Sus scrofa: one gene and its partners. The protein of the gene in region 2 purifies or fractionates together with the protein of the main gene of each other region. This does not show direct contact. Links are inferred from orthologs where the notes say so. Each region holds a gene or a part of one and is shown on either strand. Other genes may lie near its edges.

Region 1 (3,500 bases), on a different chromosome or scaffold from region 2:
GCTTCGTGTTGAAACTTACGCTCATAAATGGGCCTCCTTCTGTAGAGTAACTCTCAGTTCTCTCTTTATCATCCTACATGTGCATACAGGCTCAGGAGGGCTGGAAAATTCATCTCTTCTGTCGGCATCTTCTCATTTACCAATCAAGTAATTCTTTGGTGCCATTGAAATGCTGGAGTCATGTTTTGTTTTTCATGAATGTCTCATTTTTGGTGCCAAGCTGACCCTTTTGGTGTGTGCCAGGCTCTAGAGTATGTGCCTGAGGTTCCCTAGGTTATATTAGAAGATTCCAGTTTCTATTCCCTAGTGTGTATTAAAGGGCACGAGTCTGTAATGAATGGGCTGGAACACAGCCTCATGCTGCGCTCTTACTGTTTGATAGACTATTGGTTTTGATTGCATTTTCCAGCTAAATTTGTCACATAAGATTCTTCCTCGCTCTTTGCTCCTGCTGGCTCTTATAAACACAGAGTCCAGCGTATATTTAGTATCTTGATGAATTCAGACCCTGTGACTACCGTCTGTCTGTCGGTGCTATTTCGGGGGACAACAGGTGGGTGCCCATTGGGAAGAAGGCCTGCGTGTGGCTGGTGGGGAAGGGCCATCCGTATATGGCCTGTGCTCACACTGCCTGGTGGTTCCTTCTGCGCCCACGGAGGGCACGGTCGGGATGAGGTCTGTGATCTTGTGCTTCCAAGGCCGCCTGAGTGTTGGAGCTACATCTGTCACTATTTATTTTGCAAAAGTCAGCAACTTGTTTAGTTGTGGTGTAATATATGTAAGAAAATGCCCTGGAAACAGAGCACCTTAAACACACAGGATTTTGTTTTCTTCTCCCCTGATTCCACAACCTGGTTCTTTAGTGACTGGCTGAGTCCGTAGTCGGTGCCTGTGTAGGGTTGGGGGAAGTGGTGCTTTGATAGTTTGATTAGGGCATCGTACCCAAAACCCACAGAGGCATTCTCTTTAAATTCGGAGAAGGCAAACATGCCCTTGCTCATCACCATCGTTTGGGCTTTTTTTCTTTTTCTTTTTTGGCCGCCCCAGGGCATGTGGATTCCCAGGCCAGGGATCAGATCCGAGCTGCAGCTGCAACCAATGCCACAGCTCAGCAACACTGGATCCTTAACCCACCGTGCTGGCCATTGTTTGATATTATATAGGAGGGCTTTGGTCAGTACTATGAGAAAGAAAAATAGGAGCTAAGAGGATTAAAAAGGCACAGATAAGGATTATCGTTTTTGCAGATGATATATATGATCATCCATCTAGAAGAACCAATGGAATCAAAAATCAAACCATTAAGTGAATAAGTGTTAAGGTGGCAGCTACAACATGAACTACAAAAACAGCATTTTTTTTTCCAACCAGCAATAGCCAACTAGAAAATGCAGTATATAGAAATGTATTATTCCCAATACCAACACTATCCAAAGTATCAAAACACTTAAAAGAGTCTGTACAACTACCATCAGTACTTCAGGGAGTTCCCGTTGTGGCTCAGGGGAAACAAATCCAACTAGGATCCTTGAGGTTTGATCCCTGGCCTTACTCAGTGGGTTAAGGATCCAGCATTGCTGTGCTTTGTGGTGTAAGTCGAAGATGCGGCTCAGATCTGGCGTGGCTGTGGCCGTGGTGTAGGCCTGCAGCTGCAGCTCCTATCTGACCCCTAGCCTGGGAACCTCCATGTGCCTCGGGTGCGGCCCTAAAAAGAAAAAGCAAAGGGTGTTGGTATAACAACAGGCACAGTGCCGAAAGATGGAATAGAGACTTCAGAGGCAGACAATCTACAAATCATTGAGGGAAAGATGGATTTGGGGATGGATAACGTTGGAGAAAATGGTTCACTATATGGAGAAAAAGAAACACATCTCCCCTAGCCACACACACAAGGTGGATTCTAGGTGGATTAGGACATAAGCATGGAAAGGTGAAGTCAGACGTTAGTAGACGGGGGTGCAGGAAAGCGTCTCAGGACCTGGGGAGGGGAGGGCCCTGCAGCAAAACTTCCCGATATGAGCCGTGAGGTAAAACCAAACCAAGCAGAGATGGACCTGACCCCTTCAGAACAAGGCCTTCTGCTCCATGAAGGACGCCCAGACACACTTCACAGGGGACAGGATGGGAGAAGGTGGTTGCAGGGCCTGTCACCAACAGGGCATTAACGCCTTGAGTGTGCACATGGCAGGGGGACAGTAACCCCAGTGTGCAAAAAGAAAAAGCAAGATAGGCAAAGGCTGCGAACAGCCTCACAAGGATACGGAGAGATGTCCAAAGTGATGAGTAATGAAAGAAGGGCAGATTAAGTACTGACGCAGCACCTACTACACTGACAGCAGAAGGTTAGAAAGTTGGGAAATGCTGAGCTTTGATAGGGCTGTGGGGACCCAGGGGCTTTCTGGAGAACAATCCAGAATGGAGCTGCATGAAGGGTCCGCACACCCTGCGAGGAAGCCGCCCTGCCCTGGGATGGTGCCTGTTATCAGGGCCCCGAGAGGACAGGTTGTCATTGACCTGTTACTGGAGGTGACGAAAAACTGGCGCCGAGGTACATCTCTACTGGGTCGGGGAGGTCAGGTCAGGTGGGGACACAAGGTGGCATTTTATGCGAGACCTAGGAGCTCCTGATTACACGTACTCGGAGGAACCTGGTGCTTCGTCATAAAATACACTGCGTGAGGGCAGAAACAGTGAGATATAAATAAGTTGAAAATAGGCGAGCACACAAGTATTCCGTTTTTTTGTAGAGCAAATACAAATAAATAAACGCTAAACAGAACTATTGCCCAGTGAGTGGGGAGGAAAATGGGAGCAGCAGGGCAAGTGGATTAAAAAGAAAACTTAAAAGCACAGAAAACAAGGAATACGGCATTTTTGGTTAACCATCTTTAACCGTGAGTTGGACTGAGGGATGGGGAGATGAGGCAGCCGTTCTGCTGTCTGGGTTATAACATCTGGCCCCCCTTGGTCCCCAGGGTGGAAGCTCTGCGAGAAGCGGCCACTGCCGTGGAGCAGGAGAAGGAGGTGCTGCTGGAGATGATCCACAGCATCCAGAACAGCCAGGACATGCGGCAGATCAGCGAAGGTGCGCTGCGGGGGGCGGGGGGGTGGGGGGGTCCTGGGGGTGGGTGGGGGAAGGGGGGCATCAGCAGAGCCACTCCTCCAGCCCGAGAGCTGCTCCAGGTCCATGCTTCCAAGAAGGGCCAGAGCTGTGCGGGATGTGAAAAGCAGTAGCGTCAGAGGGTGAGAGGTTGGGTGGAGGTGTCACTTAAAGGGGAGAAAGGCAGAGAAAGTGGATTATGGACCCAGTGACACCCGTTTCCAGAGGAAGAGCTTACTGCCCAAGAAGAGATGGGCTTGCTGGGAGGTGATTCTCTGCACACCCAGTGGTCCTCCCAGCCTGGCTCCCCGGGCTAATAGTTGCGTTGCTGGTGTCGTTCAGTGAGCGTCTAGCCCAGACCCAGACTGCTACGCAGCCTCAGCAGGGTCAAGATGTCAAG
Region 2 (4,058 bases):
GTTAAGTATCTTCACATTGTTGTGCAGTTGTCACCACTGTCCATCTCCAGGACTTTTTCATCTTCCTAAATGGAAGCTCCGTGCCTTCTAAACACTTAACTCCCCATCCTTCTACCTGAGCTCCTGCAACCACTGTTCTCCTTCTGAATCTGATTGCTCTGGGGACCTCTTGTAAGTGGAATCATACGATATTTGGCTTTTTTGTATGTGGCTTATGTCACTTAGTGTAATGTTTTCAAGGTTCGAGTTGTAGTGTGTGTCAGCATTTCTTCTTTCCTTGTCTTGGCTTTTTAGGGCAACACCCGTCGCATATGGAAGTTCCCAGGCTAGGGGTCGAAGATCTTAGTTTTGCTATTATTAGGTGCTATTGTGGCTGGATGGAGAGTCACTTCAAGAGATATGCTCATGAATTTAGAGATCAAGTGCTAAAATACATCATTTCCTTTCACAAATGGTTCAGCAAAAATGTGCCAATGCACAACTGCCGGCCTATACCACAGCCACAGCAGTGCAGGATCCAAGCTACATTTGTGACCTAGAGCACAGCTCATGGCAATGCCAGATCCTTAAGGATCGAAGCTGAGTCCTCATGGACTCTAGTCAGGTTTGTTATTGCTGAGCCACGATAGGAGCTCCCCAGCATTTCTTTTTTTAAGGCTGAGCTACAGTCCACTGTGTGGACAGGCCACCTGTTTGTCAGTCTGTCTGTCCACGGACCTTGGGTTTCCACTTTTCAGCTGTTCTGAATAATGCTTCTGTGAACGTGGGTGTACAGATAGAGTTCGAGTCCCTGGTTTCCATTCTCAGATACTGTGTCCGTTGGTGGAAGTACTATCTCCGTGTCTTTTGAGGAGCTGCCCTATTTCCCACAGCAGCTTTGCCATCCTTCCTTACTCCAGTTGATGGGTCTGCTGTCTTCCGGCGCAGCGAGTGTGGTCGGGTAGGATGGATGCTCTTCCGACACCTAGAGGAGCTACTTCTGTGGCTCTCTGTCTAGTGACAGCAGTACCTGAGCTCTCATGGTTTTGTTTGATGCTCTACTGTCTTGATGTAGAGGCACCAAAACAGTATCAGTCACCTAGAGGTGGAGCAGGACTTTCCCAGGCTGCAGATGGAGGAGGGAGTAAATGGAATCACGTCTGGCCTTGGAGCTTCTTGGGGGAAGAGTTTGACGTAGGCTTCGGTGCACGTACTACACGCATAGCATTCTTTTCCCCATAATTTTATGTTTTGAAGATACTTCAGGCAAAAATACACAGAATACTTAAGTGTTTACCACTTTCACTCACATGTGAGCATTGGCACATTTTTGCCGAACCATTTGTGAAAGGAAATGATGTATTTTATTAGCACTTGATCTCTAAATTCAAGAGTATATCTCTTGAAGTGACTCTCCATCCAGCCACAATAGCACCTACTAATAGCAAAACTAAGATTGGTAATGTCATCTATTATGTGTGTATATTCAGATTTCCCCGTTTGTCTGAAAAATAGGTTGTCAGTCTCAAGGCCTATCCATGTCACCTGGTGATCATGTCCACTTCAGTTTCTCAAACTGGTTTTCCCACCTTTTGTGTCGTCGTTTCCCCGCCCCCTCCCCCGCTCCACAACATCAGCCTTTTGAAGAGTCCGGGCGCTTCGTCCTAACACAGAACAGTCCATGGTCCACGGTCTGGACTCTCGTCCCTGGTGGCTCTGCTGACCTTGCTTTCTCTGCTGTCCTTGTGCCAGGCTCCTGTCAGTTGTCCAGATGCCGGGGTTAGGGAGCACTGGGGTCAAAAGTAGAATGTTCTGTGATGGCTGCGAGTGAACAGTCAGATTTGTAATTCCAAATAATCCACCTGCTCTAAAGTAACTTGACTGAAGGAAGAAGCCTAATTCTTTTTTGCCTTTCCTTCCTAGGACTGTGAGGAGTGCATCCAGCTAGAACCTACCTTCAGTAAGTGCCTTTCTGGGCTGCTCCTCTGTCCCTGATGTGCCAGAGAATTGAGAGGAGGAGAGAGCCTGCTCTTTGCCTGTGTCTTTGGAACCTTGCGTGTTTACAAGCTCACATTGGGCCGGGGATGCTGGTGTTGAGATAAAGGGGTGGCAGAGCAGCCTTCAGAGGTGTGTTTGGGGTGATGTCTCACCGCTCCCCTCTCTGCCTACAGTCAAGGGCTATACCCGGAAAGCAGCTGCCCTGGAAGCCATGAAAGACTACACGAAAGCCATGGACGTCTACCAGAAGGCGCTCGACCTGGATGCCAACTGTAAGGTGGGGCTGCGTCTGGCCTTCGGCGAGCTCTCCCCACCCGCCACTCCCCTTTGTGTCTTTGCGGTGTCCTTCACCCACCCCTCCTCGCCCGATTCTCTGTAGTCCGTCCCCTTCTCAGTGGCTTCTGTTGGTTACCTTGCCAGCAGTGAGCCGGGCAGTGCTAACGCCCTCCCCTTTTGGCTTTGCTGAAATGCAGGAGGCCGCCGACGGTTACCAGCGCTGCGTGATGGCCCAGTACAACCGACACGACAGCCCGGAAGATGTGAAGCGGCGGGCCATGGCCGACCCTGAGGTGCAGCAGATCATGAGTGACCCAGCCATGCGGCTCATCCTGGAACAGATGCAGAAGGACCCTCAGGCGCTCAGCGAGTAAGTCCGGTTGGGGGCGGGGTGTGCAGCCTCAGCAGGAGAAGGCGGACAAAAGCAGGGAGGGAGGCACATGTTGGCAGCAGTATGATGGGGCTGGGTGGGGACGTCTACTGTGTAATTCTTATTCAGGAGGTTGGCAGTGGTAGTGAGCTAGCGTTAGTGATGACGGCTCCAGCACTTCGTTGGGAAGGCCACTTTTGCTGGGGGAAAGGTCTCACTCAGCTGAGAGCTGTTGTCTGTGGACTCCTGCGCAGTGGGGCGGGCCAGGTTCCCAGCGCCGGCAGAGGGGGCCTGTGCGGTTCTCTGCTGGGCGGTCTTCACAGTTCCCCCTTCCCCACCTCCTGTTGGTGGCCTCAAGGGTTTGCAATGGAGCTTGCTCTGCGAGCAAGTAAATTTTTTAGGTAAAGTCTCATTTCAAATAACTTGGCCTCTTCTTTATCAGACACCTAAAGAATCCTGTAATAGCGCAGAAGATCCAGAAGCTGATGGACGTGGGTCTGATCGCAATTCGGTGATGACATGTTCGTCATCCCCCTTCCCTTCGTCCTCCTGTGGAAAGAGGAGCTGGGACGGCGGCACGCAGCACGGAGCAGAAGGGAGAGGAGGGGAAACAAGCGAACAACTGCTATATATTTATACAGACCCCTGTGGACGATGCAGAGACTTACACTCCGTTACTCGTGCAGCCGCTGCCTCTGGGCCCTCCCGGCACACGCATGGTCTCTTCTGCTGCCCTCGAGTTCCATGTCTCCTTCCCCTGCCCCCAGTCGCTGTCTCAGCTGCTCTCCCATAGTTGGTTATTTTTTATTTGGGACAGTGGGCTTGTATGGGGAGGGGAGGGTGTGCTTCCCAACCTCAGGTCCCAGCTGTTCTCACATTGTTAACTCCACGTCCTCTTCTCCAATAAAACAAGCCAGTCAGGCGTGGTTATACAAGGCTGTGTCCCTAATTTTTATGCCAAAAGATTTTGCTGTCCTGCGGGGTCACAGCCTGGGTTGGCAGAAGTGTGAGTGCAGATTGGCTCCTGAGAACCAGAGCCTGTCTGTCTGTCCTCAAGGGGTGGGGTCTGTGTGAGCTTGACCTGGTTCCACAGCCTAGTGAGGTGGCCGCTAGGTGGTGCTGTTGCTCAGTGAACCATTGGAGGGAAATCGGAGGCTCCAGCCCAGAGAGGCCCAGCTCCTGAGGTTCAGATGAACTTCCAGTTCTCCACATTCTAATCTCAAATCCACAAACCAGTTAGACCCAAAGGATGCTGGATCTCACCCGTGAAACAAAACCAATTTCCATTGCAAGAGATGCTTCAGACCTCCCTTTTGGAGAGCTGAAGTCTGTCAGCTGCTGCTTGTTAAGTTTTACTTCTTAACTCCCTGCCCTGGACTGAGCCTGAGCACTTTATCATGGTTGCAACAAACTTTCTAAAACCTTGGCCTGGGGT
Region 3 (2,840 bases), on a different chromosome or scaffold from region 2:
ATGTGATTGTCATGGCAGCAACCAACAGACCCAACAGCATTGACCCAGCCCTACGACGATTTGGTGAGGACCCAAAATTTCTTTTTTGCAGTCCTTACTCATGGGACGATGATGGCTTTACTGGTTTAAATCCTGTTACTCCCATATTTCTCTGTCATCTAAGTCACCTAATCCTGAGGATTTCTTAAAGCTCTATGCAATGTTAGGGCCCAGGGGTCCTTTTGCTTATTTCATGTGTCTAGGGTGACCAGCCATCCTAATTTGCCTGAGACTGAGGGATTTCCCCGGATATGGAGATTGCAATGCTAATTCCAAGAGATTCCTGGGTAAACCAGGATGATTGGTCATCTTAGGCCTGCCCCTTCTTCTGGACCAGAAATGAACCCTATCTGTTTTTATGCATTGTCATACAGGTCGCTTTGACAGGGAGGTAGATATTGGAATTCCTGATGCTACAGGACGCTTGGAAATTCTTCAAATCCATACCAAGAATATGAAGCTGGCAGATGATGTGGACCTTGAACAGGTGGAGTGGTGATGAGGGCTGGCCAGAAATTAGGATATCTGTTTCCAGGCAGTTGAAGGGAACTGAGTTAGGGACATAAGCTTAAAATGTGAGGAAACTGATTTTGATTCCTGAGCAGGGGAAGGGAAGTGTTATGAAATTGAATCCAGGAAATTAGAGTTGGCATGGTTTCTTGGTTGGATTAGAGTGAAGCAGAATTTTGGGGGCAGCTTTATTTCCAGGCCCCAAGTCCATGTTTGAATACTTAAAACCCAGTTAGTGAAAGTACTGCTAGTATGTGTTCAGGAAATGGAGGGCCCAGAGATAGGAGTCAGGGAAAGGGGCCAGAATTCTTTTGTCTCCGAGCTTCCTAAGGCAGCTCAGAGACAGGATAGTAAGTAGATCTTCTCTTTGCAGGTAGCCAATGAAACTCATGGGCATGTTGGTGCTGACTTAGCAGCCCTGTGCTCAGAGGCTGCTCTGCAAGCCATCCGCAAAAAGATGGACCTCATTGACCTAGAAGACGAAACCATCGATGCTGAGGTCATGAACTCCCTGGCAGTTACCATGGATGACTTCCGAGTAAGGCACTGCTCTCATATCACAGGTATACACACACGTGCACTTTGATTTGTCCCCTTCAAGTCTCATCTCCAGTTTTTCTTCCATTTTTAGTGGGCCCTAAGCCAGAGCAACCCATCAGCACTTCGGGAAACTGTGGTAGAGGTGCCACAGGTGACCTGGGAGGACATTGGGGGCTTGGAGGATGTCAAACGTGAGCTTCAGGAGCTGGTCCAGGTAGGGTATTTAGTCCACGGTGAGTCTCTACCTCAGTCCATTGTAATTGAACTGGGTAGTATTGGGGTGTTGGCACATTCATTGCAGAAATTGTGAGCATAATTCAGAAACCTACTATCCTCAGGTTGGAGGCACTAAGGAGCCTGCTTTTAGGGAACCTGGGTCTTGTGCCATGGGGTGGTTTGGGAGGATCTTCTCTTTGGTTAGATTTCTTTCCAACTCTGAGGATATCCCTGAACCCACCTTTCTTTTCCTCCTAGTATCCTGTGGAGCACCCAGACAAATTCCTCAAGTTTGGCATGACACCCTCCAAGGGAGTGCTATTCTATGGACCTCCTGGCTGTGGGAAAACCTTGCTGGCCAAAGCCATTGCTAATGAGTGCCAGGCCAACTTCATCTCCATCAAAGGTCCTGAGCTGCTCACCATGTGGTTTGGGGAATCAGAGGCCAATGTTAGGGAAATCTTTGACAAGGTGAGCTACAAGTGGCTGGACTGTCAATTCACTTGCCTGGGGACAAGTTAGGGATAGAGGCTATTTCTTTGGGAGAATTGAATTTAAAACCATCTGGTTCTGGCACCTCAGCTGGGGCAGTGCAGGTCACTTTATTTTCCGTTCCTTCTCAGGTCAAGAGACCCAACTGTGCTAATGCTTGAGTCCATCTGTCCCTCACACAGGCCCGCCAAGCTGCCCCCTGTGTACTGTTCTTTGATGAGCTGGATTCAATTGCCAAGGCCCGTGGTGGCAACATTGGAGATGGTGGTGGGGCTGCCGACCGAGTCATCAACCAGATCTTGACAGAAATGGATGGCATGTCCACAAAAAAAAATGTGTTTATCATTGGCGCTACCAACCGACCTGACATCATTGATCCTGCCATCTTGCGACCTGGCCGCCTTGATCAGCTCATCTACATCCCACTTCCTGATGAGAAGTCCCGTGTCGCCATTCTCAAGGCCAACCTGCGCAAGTCCCCCGTTGCCAAGGCAGGTGCAAGATCTTGGGTCTTGGGGATTTCTCTGAATCCTCAGGCTAGTGTAAAATTCTCTTTGGTTCCTGGACAAGATTCCTTTGGGGATTTCTGGGGTTATGGTTTAAAGGGAAGATAGAAGACTTGAGGGTATTAGGATAATCTAGAATTAAGGAGTAAAACAGGGTGGCAGAAGATGGGACACACTGAAATTGAGAGTGCTTGATTGAAAGATCAGTGTATCACTGGAGAAGAAGCTAAATGCTGAGGTAGCTCTGTCGCTTCTTTTAGGATGTGGATTTGGAGTTCCTGGCTAAGATGACTAATGGCTTCTCTGGAGCTGACTTGACAGAGATTTGCCAACGTGCTTGCAAGCTGGCCATCCGAGAATCAATCGAGAGTGAGATTAGGCGAGAACGGGAGAGGCAGACCAACCCATCGGCCATGGTGAGTCTGTATCCTTTCCCCAGATGTGCCAGTTATGGGGAGCCAGGGACAATCTCCACAGTGCCCTGGAGTTAAGAGTACAAGGTTTTGGAAAGATCATCTGACTGAGATGTTCAACAGA
Region 4 (2,421 bases), on a different chromosome or scaffold from region 2:
AAGAAATTGTTAGAAAGCCGATATCATCAAATTGGTTCTGGGAAGGTAAAGCCATTTTGACTCTCTTCAATGAAAAATATGAGGCACTTTTTTAAGTGAAATTACTCAGCCTCTTTTGAGAAGGTAAAAAATGGCTCGACTTTCGTAACAATTCTATTTTTAATTTTGGTTATAGTGTGAAATCAAAGTTGCACAACCCAAAGAGGTGTATAGGCAGCAACAGCAACAACAGAAAGGAGGAAGAGGTGCTGCAGCTGGCGGACGAGGTGGTACTAGGGGTCGTGGACGAGGTGAGACTTTGCCTGGGAAATGCCTCAGCGGTCTGAGCTATAAGCTGCCAAATGTGAATAGGCCCATAGCAAAGTCAAGTCAAATGTCAACTGTTCCAACATGGAAAATGCTCAGCTTGGTGGGTGGATTTTTGTTATTAAAAGAATGGCCACTCTGATGGTGTCATTGCTGATGGGGAAAAAAAAACACCATTAAATGTCATGTTAACGTGGTGATGCACTTTGGTGTAGTAGGTTTTCAAGGGCAAGAGTCCTTATTTTAAACCTAAACACCTTTGTCTTCACCTTTGTTTTTGTCCTGATTTTTTTCATTAAATTTAAGAAGCCTGATGCTGGCACAATTGGACTTTCTGCGCACCCCCCCCCCCATGGTAACTGATGATAATACTTTCTTGATCAGATAGCAATGTAGATGACCGTTCTGCTTTTGTTAACTTTTTGCAGAGTGAGAGACAGGAACTCATCATTTTATGTTAGGATTGGAGGTCAGAAGGTATTTCCTAACAATCATTGTGCATTGTTTCAGGTCAGGGCCAAAACTGGAACCAAGGATTTAATAACTATTATGATCAAGGATATGGAAATTACAATAGTGCCTATGGTGGTGATCAAAACTATAGTGGCTATGGCGGCTATGATTATACTGGGTATAACTATGGGAACTATGGATATGGACAGGGATATGCAGACTACAGTGGTAAGAATATTTAACTTAACTTCATAAACCAATGGTACGAAAGTTCAGTGCTGAAGTACAGGCCCATTCTGAGGCTGTGGGAGGGGAGGTTTCCTATTGAAGTGTTTGCGGAGTTACTTTTTTGAGGCATTTAATAGTCATGGGAAATGATACTGATTTTGGTCACTGCAGCCATTCTAGAATGTGATGTGGTTAGTTGACAATGCCTTTAATATCTGACTGTTTTAATAGTGGGTATGCAGAATTTTGCATATTTAATAGTCTTTAAGATGCATTTATAATGAAAGCATTTCATTTAAAACTGAGCATCTTTTTTTGTCTTTTCAAAATAGGCCAACAGAGCACTTATGGCAAGGCATCTCGAGGGGGTGGCAATCACCAAAATAATTACCAGCCATACTAAAGGGGGACATTGGAGAAAACAGGTGTGTATAAGCGTTCGAGAAACCAGTGGAAATGTCTAATTTAATTTAAAGATCAATAGACAAATGAAAAATAAGTAAAAACAAAATATCATGTAGTCTGTTTTTACTCAATTGTTTACTTTTTAACTTGCATTATGAGCCTGTTTTGCCTAAAGTGTCTATAGATCTTTAACTTTTAAAAAGTTTTATCTCACTTTTTTTAGTATTACAGAAAAACTTAAGAGTTTTTCTGTTTGCTTTGTGTACCAGGTGGTCTAGAGGAGTAATTAAACTTTTTTAGAACTATTAACAGGTAAAGTACTGAAATGGGTACAACTTAAGGAAAACAAGAATGTTGTCTTCTAACTCTGACATTATACCTTGTTTGTACCCGCCAGCGGGAACTTCATTGCAGGCCGTGTGTCACCCTGACCACGTCTATCTCTGGGGGTCGCACGTTGCGGGCAGAGCGCAAGGCATACACCAGAAAACGCTGTCCTGTGGTATGGTCTCTTCCAACTTCATGTACCAGCGTAAAGATTAAAGTGGAAAACTTCAGACTTTGGCTTCTTTTTTTTAATCTTTTTGAAGATTAAGTGTCTAAACTTAACTTAAATGGTTTTTTACAGGAGTTAAAGTACATAAATGCCTTTTTACAGCTTAATCATTTTGGTCTTCTGTTTAGTGTTGTATTTCAATTGTGGAGCCTCATTTTAAGTGTTCATTCTTTAAGATTTAATGCTTGCTTTTTCTTTTTATAGCTAATAGTGAAATCTACAAACCAAAACAAGAACTTTAAAATCTGGGATACAAATTAAAGATCATATGCACAGAGCAATTTGTTTTCTTGCAATACAAGCCTATTAGAAATTTGTGTTTGTAATTGCATTGGACGTGGCTTACTAGAGATGCTTCTAGTAGACCTTGATCTAGCACAGTTCGACCTGTGAATATGGGAAGATGGCTTTCCCAGATTTTCTAAGTAAATTTAATGGCATTCGGGAACTCCAGGGTGCATTTACTAATTACC
Region 5 (3,931 bases), on a different chromosome or scaffold from region 2:
AAAGGCCTTACTCACTGATTAAATACAAACAAAAAATACAGGTGTCAATGATGATGCTTAGGGTTTTAATTAGAAAGAGAAAAAAATCTTCTGACAGATGAAACTGGCCTGTAATATCAGGTGAACCCTGGTGTTTCATGTTAAATAATTTCACAGAACATCCGCATCAAACCAGCACTAAGATAATGGATCAAGATAAAAACAAGACCACTTTGTAATCAGGTCTGAACACAGACAAAAATGTGAACATTGTCCAAACCACAAAAGTGACCAAACATCTCCCATCTTGGCTAATAGGAAGGACTGCTGTTTCTTTACCAGTTATACATTTAGCCTCCCTTCATTCCTCCCACCTTCTAGAAAAGATTGCCTAAATACCCGTACAGCAGAGCCCTGCTTCCTGGAGCCCTCTCCCAAATCGCCTATGACACACCCAAATCCAGTGAGACTCCTTTCCCAATACCTTGTTCCTGGCACCCTCTCTCACTGCCTTATCTCAATAAATCCACCTTTTGTTCAAATGTAGGTGTATTCTTGGTGGTCTTTGGCTGAGGGGCATTGATTTTGGTTTAAGGAACTCAGATTAGATGACCGTGCTGGTGCCGCTTCCTGAGATGGGGGAAATGGGTGTGATTAGTGGTTGAGATGACCAACTCGGATGGCCCCTCTGGCAAGTCCTGGACCCAGATTGTAAGGCTTGCCAGGATCTCTCACAAGCGCTCTGAGGTGTTCTCTGATCCTCCACCCTGTTCCTTCTAAGGCATTACCAACTTCATTTATGTTGAAACAGAAGGAATTAGCAGCTCATTTTAAATGTGTACCAGATGCCAGGGAGTGTTTGAAGGGCTCTAGATGTTTTCATTCATTTACTTCTCCTATCAGCCTTATGAACGTTGATACTACTATTTTTGGGTTTTACTGATGCGATACCTGAGGTTCAGAGGTTCCCTAACTTGCACAGCAATGATTCGAACCCAGGTCTTACTCCAGGTTGGCCAGTGTCACCCTGGACTCCTGGGTAACTAGGCCGAGGCGGCCATCTTGCCTGTGGTATGTACGGACTGCAAGTCCCGGCAGCCCTCGCGGTGGCAGCCTTCTGCACACAACAAATCCCGGCCTGCCCCTGGGCGGTCCGGGGTGGAGGGTTCTAGAAGGAGTGACGTGGGGTCTGGAGCGGGCTCGGAGGCGGGCGCCTCACGGCAGTAGCTGTGGCCGCAGCGCCGGGCCTGGGGACGTGGGCGGTCGGGGCCGCGGACGCAGCTTCCTCATCTCCCCGGCCATGGCCGCGCTTGGCCGGCCCTTCAGCGGCCTCCCCCTGAGCGGCGGCTCGGACTTCCTGCAGCCGCCGCCGGCCTTCCCCGGCCGGGCCTTCCCGCCGGGGGCGGACGGCGCCGAGCTGACCCCGCGGCCGGGACCCCGCGCTGCCCCGAGCAGCCCCGGCGGGAGCGCGGCGCGCGGACGGTGAGGAGCCCGGCGGGCGGGCAGGCGCGGGCTCGTTGACACTCCCCACGACCCTCGGCGGGGTCTTCTCCGTCCCAGGTTGCTGAGGCAGAGAGTGAGCCCCAGAGTCCGTTACCGTAAGTCGCCTGAGGTCGCACAGCGCGGGCGTCCGGCTCGGACCTCGGGCTGCCTGTGCCTCGGTGAGTGAGGAGAAAGTCCCGAGTTCGCCCAGGGAGAGCGGAGATGGGAACCCGGGCCGACCCGAGCCTGGGTCGGACCGCGGGGCGGCCGCGGCTACTGGTAACCTTTCGGCGCCTCTCGGACACTGAGTTTCTTCATCCCCAACTTGGGACAGAAATGGGTCCTCCTAGTGAGATTATAAAGTGCTTAGCACAGTCCTTGTCTCGAATGCGTTGTTATGCCCCAGATAAATCTCCCACGGTTTCGACCAAATGAGAAGTTTAGATTGCAGTTTCTATGCATGTCAGGACCACCCAGCATTTATACCTGACTGACCTTGTTACCGGCACTTCCATCCCCCTCGGCAAGGAAGGGGACAGCTGATAGGTTTGGGCTGGGCAGGATATCGGAGGTAGAGTAGATCTAATAAATTTCTCATCTGACTTGATTTTTGTTTGTTTCAGCAGTGTTTCTGATCACTGTAGAAAGAAACACAAGCGAGAGGAGGAGGAGGATGATGAGTAAGTTTCAGGTGCCTTTTTATTCACTTAATGGTCACTTAATTTAACCTATTTTCTGTCCACAACTGCTTGTTTTAAGTGAGTTGAAATATTAGGTGTCTGTGAAAAGAGGCTCAGGGAAATAATAACGAGTCGCCTTTTAGAGAAGGGAGCTAAGCAGGTCAGAGGTAAACTTTTCACTCTTGGGCAATTGTAATTTTGAATTTTGAGCCATGTGAATATTATTACATGCACAGAGTAAAAGAATTCACAGAAAGCTACATATTGAAAAGTCTTAAAACTCTTTGCTCCCAGTTCTACCCAGAGGTTACATTTGTTACCTGTTTCCTATTTCTCCTAAGGAAGATAGTATAAACAAGTTTATAACTGTATACTTCTGGTTTTTTAGATTTGTAGCCCGATACTATTCACATTGCAACGCGTTGGTCTTTTCATTTTACTCTCCTGGGGCACATAGAGTTCTACCTAACTTTTTCAAAAGTTGAATTCTATTGTAAGGCTAGGTATAGGTCATTAAGCAGTCAGCTAGTGTTGGATTTCTAAATTAATTGGAACCTTTTGTTATTACTAACAGATCTACCATGCCTGTCATTTTTTTATTAAAGTATATTTGATTTACAGTGTGTCAGTTTTTGTTGTACAGCAAAGGACTATCATTCTTTTTAAGTTCTTTGTATATATTTGCAAGTAGATAAAGGAATTTAATTGTTGGATTTTAAAGCCTATGCGTTTTGAATTTTGAAGAAGAGTTGTTGTCAGTGTATAGGCCTTAGGCCTTTTATCAGTGGGTATGGCTGTTTCTCCATCTTCTCACCAGAACTGTATTTTCAAACTTTTTGATCACCACTTAGCTGTTAGGTAAAAATTGCATGTCATAGGCAGTCTAAATTTTTTTTTTCCTTTGTGTTTTCAGGTTCTCACCTGCAGCATATGGAGGCTCCCAGGCTAGGGGTCTAATCGGAGCTGTTGCTGCTGCCTATGCCAGGGCCACAGCAACGTCAGATCCTTAACCCACTGTGCAAGGCCAGGGATTGAATCTGCAACCTCATGGTTCCTAGTCGGATTTGTTTCTGCTGCGCCACAATGGGAACTCCTCATAGGCAGTCTAATTTAAGAGTAAGAGACTTCCTCAAAGAGGATATCCAAATAACTGATCAAATGGAAAGATGTTCAACCTCATCATTCTGTAGGGAAATGCCTCTTAAAAGCACAGTGGGAAAATGAGAGAAAACCACATCTTTCTGGACCCCATGTTGGTACCTCTCCCACCTTTGAGAGATAAAAATCCCTCTAGGACAATAGAGAAGGGGACTCGTCTCCCGCCTCCCAGCTGCCCTGGGAGCTATTTGCTTTTCTTTAATAAAGACTTTGCTTGCTTAAAAAAAAAAAAAAAAAGCACAGTGGCATAGTACTCTATCTACCACTGGTATTGGAGGGTTACAGAGCACCAGGAACTCTTCAAACACTGTGGATGAGAATATAAATTGATACTCTTTGGGAAACAATTTTGTGTTAGCTAATGAGTTGAAGGCATGCATACGTACCTATTTACCCAGCTGTTCTCATCAGGAGACACAAGAAAGTTCATAGCACCCTTATTCATGAGTTCAAAATTGGAATGTCCCAGAGTTCCCATTGTGGGCCAGTGGTTAACGAATCCTACTAGTAACCATGAGGTTTCTGGTTCGATCCCTGGCCTTGCTCAGTGCGTTAAGGATCCAGTGTTGCTGTGAGCTGTGGTGTGTCACAGACCCAGCTTGGATCCTGAGTTGCTGTGGTTGCACCGTAGG
Region 6 (3,500 bases), on a different chromosome or scaffold from region 2:
AGCCGTCGCTGATTCTCTTTCTTCATGGCCGCTTTCCCTTCTGCCTCTACAGTCGGGAAGAGCTCCTTTCTCCCTCTGCCGGGTTTCTCTCACCCACTTTGCATGACGAGCACCCCACCTTCCCACCCTCACACTGTCCAGGGCACCTCCAGGCAGGCAAGGACCCTGCTTTTCTTTTTCTGGTCAGGCAGTCATCGTTGCCCCGTGGGCAGGGCAGGCAGGTCTTTGAGGTGTTTTATTTTTCCTTTTTCTTTTTTTCTTTTGATTGGGCTGGCATGCGGAAATTCCCTGGCCAAGGATCAAACCCACACAGCTGTGGCCCAAGCCAAAGCAGTAATATCACTGCATCCTTAACCTCCTGCTCCACCAGGGAACTCCTCCATCTCCTTCTTTCTTTATTTTTGCTTTTTAGGGTCGCACCCTCGGTATATGGAGGTTCCCAGGCTAGGGGTCTAATTGGAGCTGTAGCCGCGGCCTACACCACAGCCACAGCAGCGCCAGATCCAAGCCGCATCTGTGACCTCCATCACAGCTCACGGCAATGCTGGATCCTTAATCCACTGAGTGAGGCCAGGGATTGAACCTGCCACCTCATGGTTCCTAGTCAGATTCGTTTTCTGCTGAGCCACAACGGGAGCTCCATGTAACTTCACTTCTCACAGCTGCTCAAAACTAACCACCGTTCTCCGTCTGTCTCTCCACCCCCTTTATCCTGACCAGTGTCCCTGGGAAAGCGAAATGGTGGTATTTGTGGATGCGGGAGCCAGGTTTTGTATCCTGGTGCCAGGGCAGCAGCTGTGTGACCTTGAGTAAGCTCCTGGACCTCTCTGTGCCTTCGGTTCTCATCTGTAAATGAGAGTCAACCACTGTGCTGTTTAGAGCTCTCCAGAGGGTTGAAGTGATTTCACGTAGAGTGCCGAGCCGGCCCGGCCTGTCATCACGGCTGACACTCCCAGGAGCCTTTGTCCTCTCTCTCAAGGGACAACAGGCCTGGTAGAACCACTGTCCTTTGCCTTCCAGGTGCAGTTCGGCCACGCTGGAGCTTGTGCCAACCAGGCTTCTGAAACCGCAATAGCCAAGAACCAGGCTTTGAAGGAGGCGGGCGTGTTTGTGCCCCGGAGCTTCGATGAGCTTGGAGAGATCATCCAGTGAGTGAACTCTGCGGAGGGTGCCACCTCCTTGTCCCTTTCCAGGTCCCTCCTGAGGACAGCAGCCTCTTCAGAATACAGGTCCGATGTCCCTGGGCCATCTCAGGTGTCTGAGGCAGCTCTGTGGATCGTCCAGAATTCTTTCTTTTTGGCTTTGTTTTATTTGTCTCCAGAAACAGCAGTTACAGGCGTTCAGACTGGTGTTAAAATGGTCAGTTTCTGAGCCTACCTACTGGCCATGTATGAGAGATGAGCACGGAAATATTTAGAAACTGTCACCTCTAATCAGTTGACAAAGAGCTGTTGGACAAGCTGTGGTCCCTTCCCACTCCTCCCCTCTGTCCTTCCTTGGCCTCCAGATTCGAAAGACCCACTCAGAAGGGAGGCACAGTTCTTGGCTAGAACCTATTTTCATTTAGTTCTCAAGAATCTGGAGCGCCCACTGTGGCACAGCAGGATCGGCAGTGTCTCTGCAGTGCCAGGAGGCAAGGTTCAGTACCTGGCCCAGCACAGTGGATTAAAGGATCAAGCATTGCTGCAGGTGTGGCATAGGTCTCAACAGCAGCTCGGATGCAGTCCCTGGCCCAGGAACTCCATTTGCCACTGGGCAGCCAAAAAAGTGGAGAGGGCGAGGGTTACAAGTTGCGGCTCAGCGGTTACAAACCTAATACCTGTGAGGATGTGGGTTCAATCCCTGGCCTCCCTCAGTAGGTTAAGGATCGGGCATTGCTGTGAGCTGTGGTGTAGGTGGCAGACGCAGCTCAGATCCCCCATTGCTGTGGCTGTGGTGTAGACCGGTAGCTGTGGCTCCAATTCAGTCCCTGGCCTGGGAACCCCCATGTGCTGCGGGTGCAGCCCTAAAATGGAAAAAAAAAAAAAAAAAAAGGGTAAAAAAAAAGATTCAGCTGGTAAGAGTAAGCTGCTGGTAGGAAGGGATACGAAGCTGGAAAACCTGAAATTTGGGGGTTAGATGAGAAGCGTTTGCGGGATGGCTTAGAAGAACCCAAAAGAGTAAAGTCCACATGGATGTCTTTTCTCCCTCCTTCCCCCTGGCTCCCAGGTCCGTGTACGAGGATCTTGTGTCCAGAGGGGTCATCGTGCCTGCTCAGGAAGTGCCGCCCCCAACGGTGCCCATGGACTACTCGTGGGCCAGGGTGGGTACTGCATGTGCAGAGTGTGCTGGAGTTCGTAGGTGGCCCTTTCTGACCAACGGGTCAAATGCAGGGCTTAGGAGGGCAAGGGGCCACGTGTGTCTCCTGTAGCTGTGTGGCCTGACCTGGAAACGGGGGGTGGGGACAGACAGTGTCCCCTGAAGCTGTTTATACCTGCCAGGAGATTTCAGGGCAGAGAGTCCACTCTGCCTGCTTGTCTAAGGCAGGGGCATAGATGAAGAGTGACTGTGCTGGAGTTCTCGTTGTGGCTCAGTGGTAACAAACCTGACTAGTATCCTTGAGAACATAGGTTGATCCCTGGCCTGGCTCAGTGGGTTAAGGATCCAGAGTTGCCATGAGCTGTGGTGTAGGTTGCAGACGCGGCTCGGATCTTGCGTGGCTGTGGTGTAGGCTGGTGGCTATAGCTCCGATTCGACCGCTAGCCTGGGAACCTCCATATGCCACGGGTGTGGCCCTAAAAAGACAACAACAACAACAGAAACAGATCGAAGCATTTCTTAATGTTCAGAAGGGATAATTGGCAATTAGTTAATGCTACCCTTGTTGTGCCCCAGCTCTGGAAATGGAAGATTTAGGAGCTCAGCCTCCTCCCCCAGGAAAAGGACACATTGAGGGGATCCCCTATTTCTCCAACCTCTGCCTTATTACACTTTGGCGGGGGTGCTTGTTAGCTGCGTGTGAAGTATTGACACTTCACTTTTCCCCTTTGCGTTCATGCTTCCATTTCTTAGCCAGGTGACCTGGGTCCGGTGTGAGATCAAATAAACCAATGGGTGCCCAAAGCTTACCGCCGTGCCTGGCCCTGCAAATACTACGGAAGGGCCAGAAACAGTGCCGAGGCTGAGCGGGTGCCCTGGCGTGGTCGCTCTTGCTTTCTATGCCCCAAATGATCTAAGAAAAGGGTTTTTGCGGGACCTTCTCGGGAGGACTCTGAGAGTCATTGCTTGACCGCCAGAACTTAAGACACCCTTGGGGCAGCCCCAGGAGAATCTCGTGTGGTCACCATAGCCCGCTTGCCTCTGCCCCCCTCTCTGCTCAGGAGCTGGGCTTGATCCGCAAACCTGCCTCGTTCATGACCAGCATCTGCGACGAGCGAGGACAGGAGCTCATCTACGCGGGCATGCCCATCACCGAGGTCTTCAAGGAGGAGATGGGCATCGGCGGGGTCCTCGGCCTCCTC

The links.
Region 1: the proteins of STIP1 (region 2) and BAG2 purify together in Homo sapiens (affinity purification with mass spectrometry; 3 studies listed by BioGRID and IntAct, with this or other methods). This does not show direct contact. The link is inferred for Sus scrofa from reciprocal best matches to the Homo sapiens genes STIP1 and BAG2.
Region 3: the proteins of STIP1 (region 2) and VCP purify together in Homo sapiens (affinity purification with mass spectrometry; 4 studies listed by BioGRID, with this or other methods). This does not show direct contact. The link is inferred for Sus scrofa from reciprocal best matches to the Homo sapiens genes STIP1 and VCP.
Region 4: the proteins of STIP1 (region 2) and HNRNPDL fractionate together in Homo sapiens (co-fractionation; 3 studies listed by BioGRID, with this or other methods). This does not show direct contact. The link is inferred for Sus scrofa from reciprocal best matches to the Homo sapiens genes STIP1 and HNRNPDL.
Region 5: the proteins of STIP1 (region 2) and CCDC117 purify together in Homo sapiens (affinity purification with mass spectrometry; 5 studies listed by BioGRID and IntAct, counting the BioPlex papers as one, with this or other methods). This does not show direct contact. The link is inferred for Sus scrofa from reciprocal best matches to the Homo sapiens genes STIP1 and CCDC117.
Region 6: the proteins of STIP1 (region 2) and ACLY fractionate together in Homo sapiens (co-fractionation; 3 studies listed by BioGRID, with this or other methods). This does not show direct contact. The link is inferred for Sus scrofa from reciprocal best matches to the Homo sapiens genes STIP1 and ACLY.

Annotation. Positions count from the first base shown.
Region 1 is NC_010449.5:28,670,498-28,673,997, reverse strand, and holds part of BAG2 (BAG family molecular chaperone regulator 2), read left to right. Parts: intron 1-2,975; coding exon 2,976-3,085; intron 3,086-3,500. UniProt on the Homo sapiens protein: Co-chaperone for HSP70 and HSC70 chaperone proteins. Acts as a nucleotide-exchange factor (NEF) promoting the release of ADP from the HSP70 and HSC70 proteins thereby triggering client/substrate protein release.
Region 2 is NC_010444.4:7,910,943-7,915,000, reverse strand, and holds the end of STIP1 (stress-induced-phosphoprotein 1), read left to right. Parts: intron 1-1,902; coding exon 1,903-1,939; intron 1,940-2,150; coding exon 2,151-2,254; intron 2,255-2,450; coding exon 2,451-2,623; intron 2,624-3,065; coding exon 3,066-3,138; 3' UTR 3,139-3,558; downstream 3,559-4,058. UniProt on the Homo sapiens protein: Acts as a co-chaperone for HSP90AA1. Mediates the association of the molecular chaperones HSPA8/HSC70 and HSP90.
Region 3 is NC_010443.5:235,856,873-235,859,712, reverse strand, and holds part of VCP (transitional endoplasmic reticulum ATPase), read left to right. Parts: coding exon 1-63; intron 64-413; coding exon 414-526; intron 527-922; coding exon 923-1,087; intron 1,088-1,180; coding exon 1,181-1,303; intron 1,304-1,563; coding exon 1,564-1,776; intron 1,777-1,979; coding exon 1,980-2,288; intron 2,289-2,563; coding exon 2,564-2,719; intron 2,720-2,840. UniProt on the Homo sapiens protein: Necessary for the fragmentation of Golgi stacks during mitosis and for their reassembly after mitosis. Involved in the formation of the transitional endoplasmic reticulum (tER).
Region 4 is NC_010450.4:135,805,530-135,807,950, forward strand, and holds part of HNRNPDL (heterogeneous nuclear ribonucleoprotein D-like), read left to right. Parts: coding exon 1-45; intron 46-175; coding exon 176-290; intron 291-816; coding exon 817-987; intron 988-1,319; coding exon 1,320-1,390; 3' UTR 1,391-1,412; exon of another isoform or gene 1,413-1,789; 3' UTR 1,790-2,421. UniProt on the Homo sapiens protein: Acts as a transcriptional regulator. Promotes transcription repression. Promotes transcription activation in differentiated myotubes. Binds to double- and single-stranded DNA sequences. Binds to the transcription suppressor CATR sequence of the COX5B promoter.
Region 5 is NC_010456.5:45,994,506-45,998,436, forward strand, and holds the start of CCDC117 (coiled-coil domain-containing protein 117), read left to right. Parts: upstream 1-1,131; 5' UTR 1,132-1,279; coding exon 1,280-1,461; intron 1,462-2,084; coding exon 2,085-2,141; intron 2,142-3,931. UniProt on the Homo sapiens protein: Facilitates DNA repair, cell cycle progression, and cell proliferation through its interaction with CIAO2B.
Region 6 is NC_010454.4:20,831,178-20,834,677, forward strand, and holds part of ACLY (ATP-citrate synthase), read left to right. Parts: intron 1-1,020; coding exon 1,021-1,148; intron 1,149-2,208; coding exon 2,209-2,302; intron 2,303-3,359; coding exon 3,360-3,500. UniProt on the Homo sapiens protein: Catalyzes the cleavage of citrate into oxaloacetate and acetyl-CoA, the latter serving as common substrate in multiple biochemical reactions in protein, carbohydrate and lipid metabolism.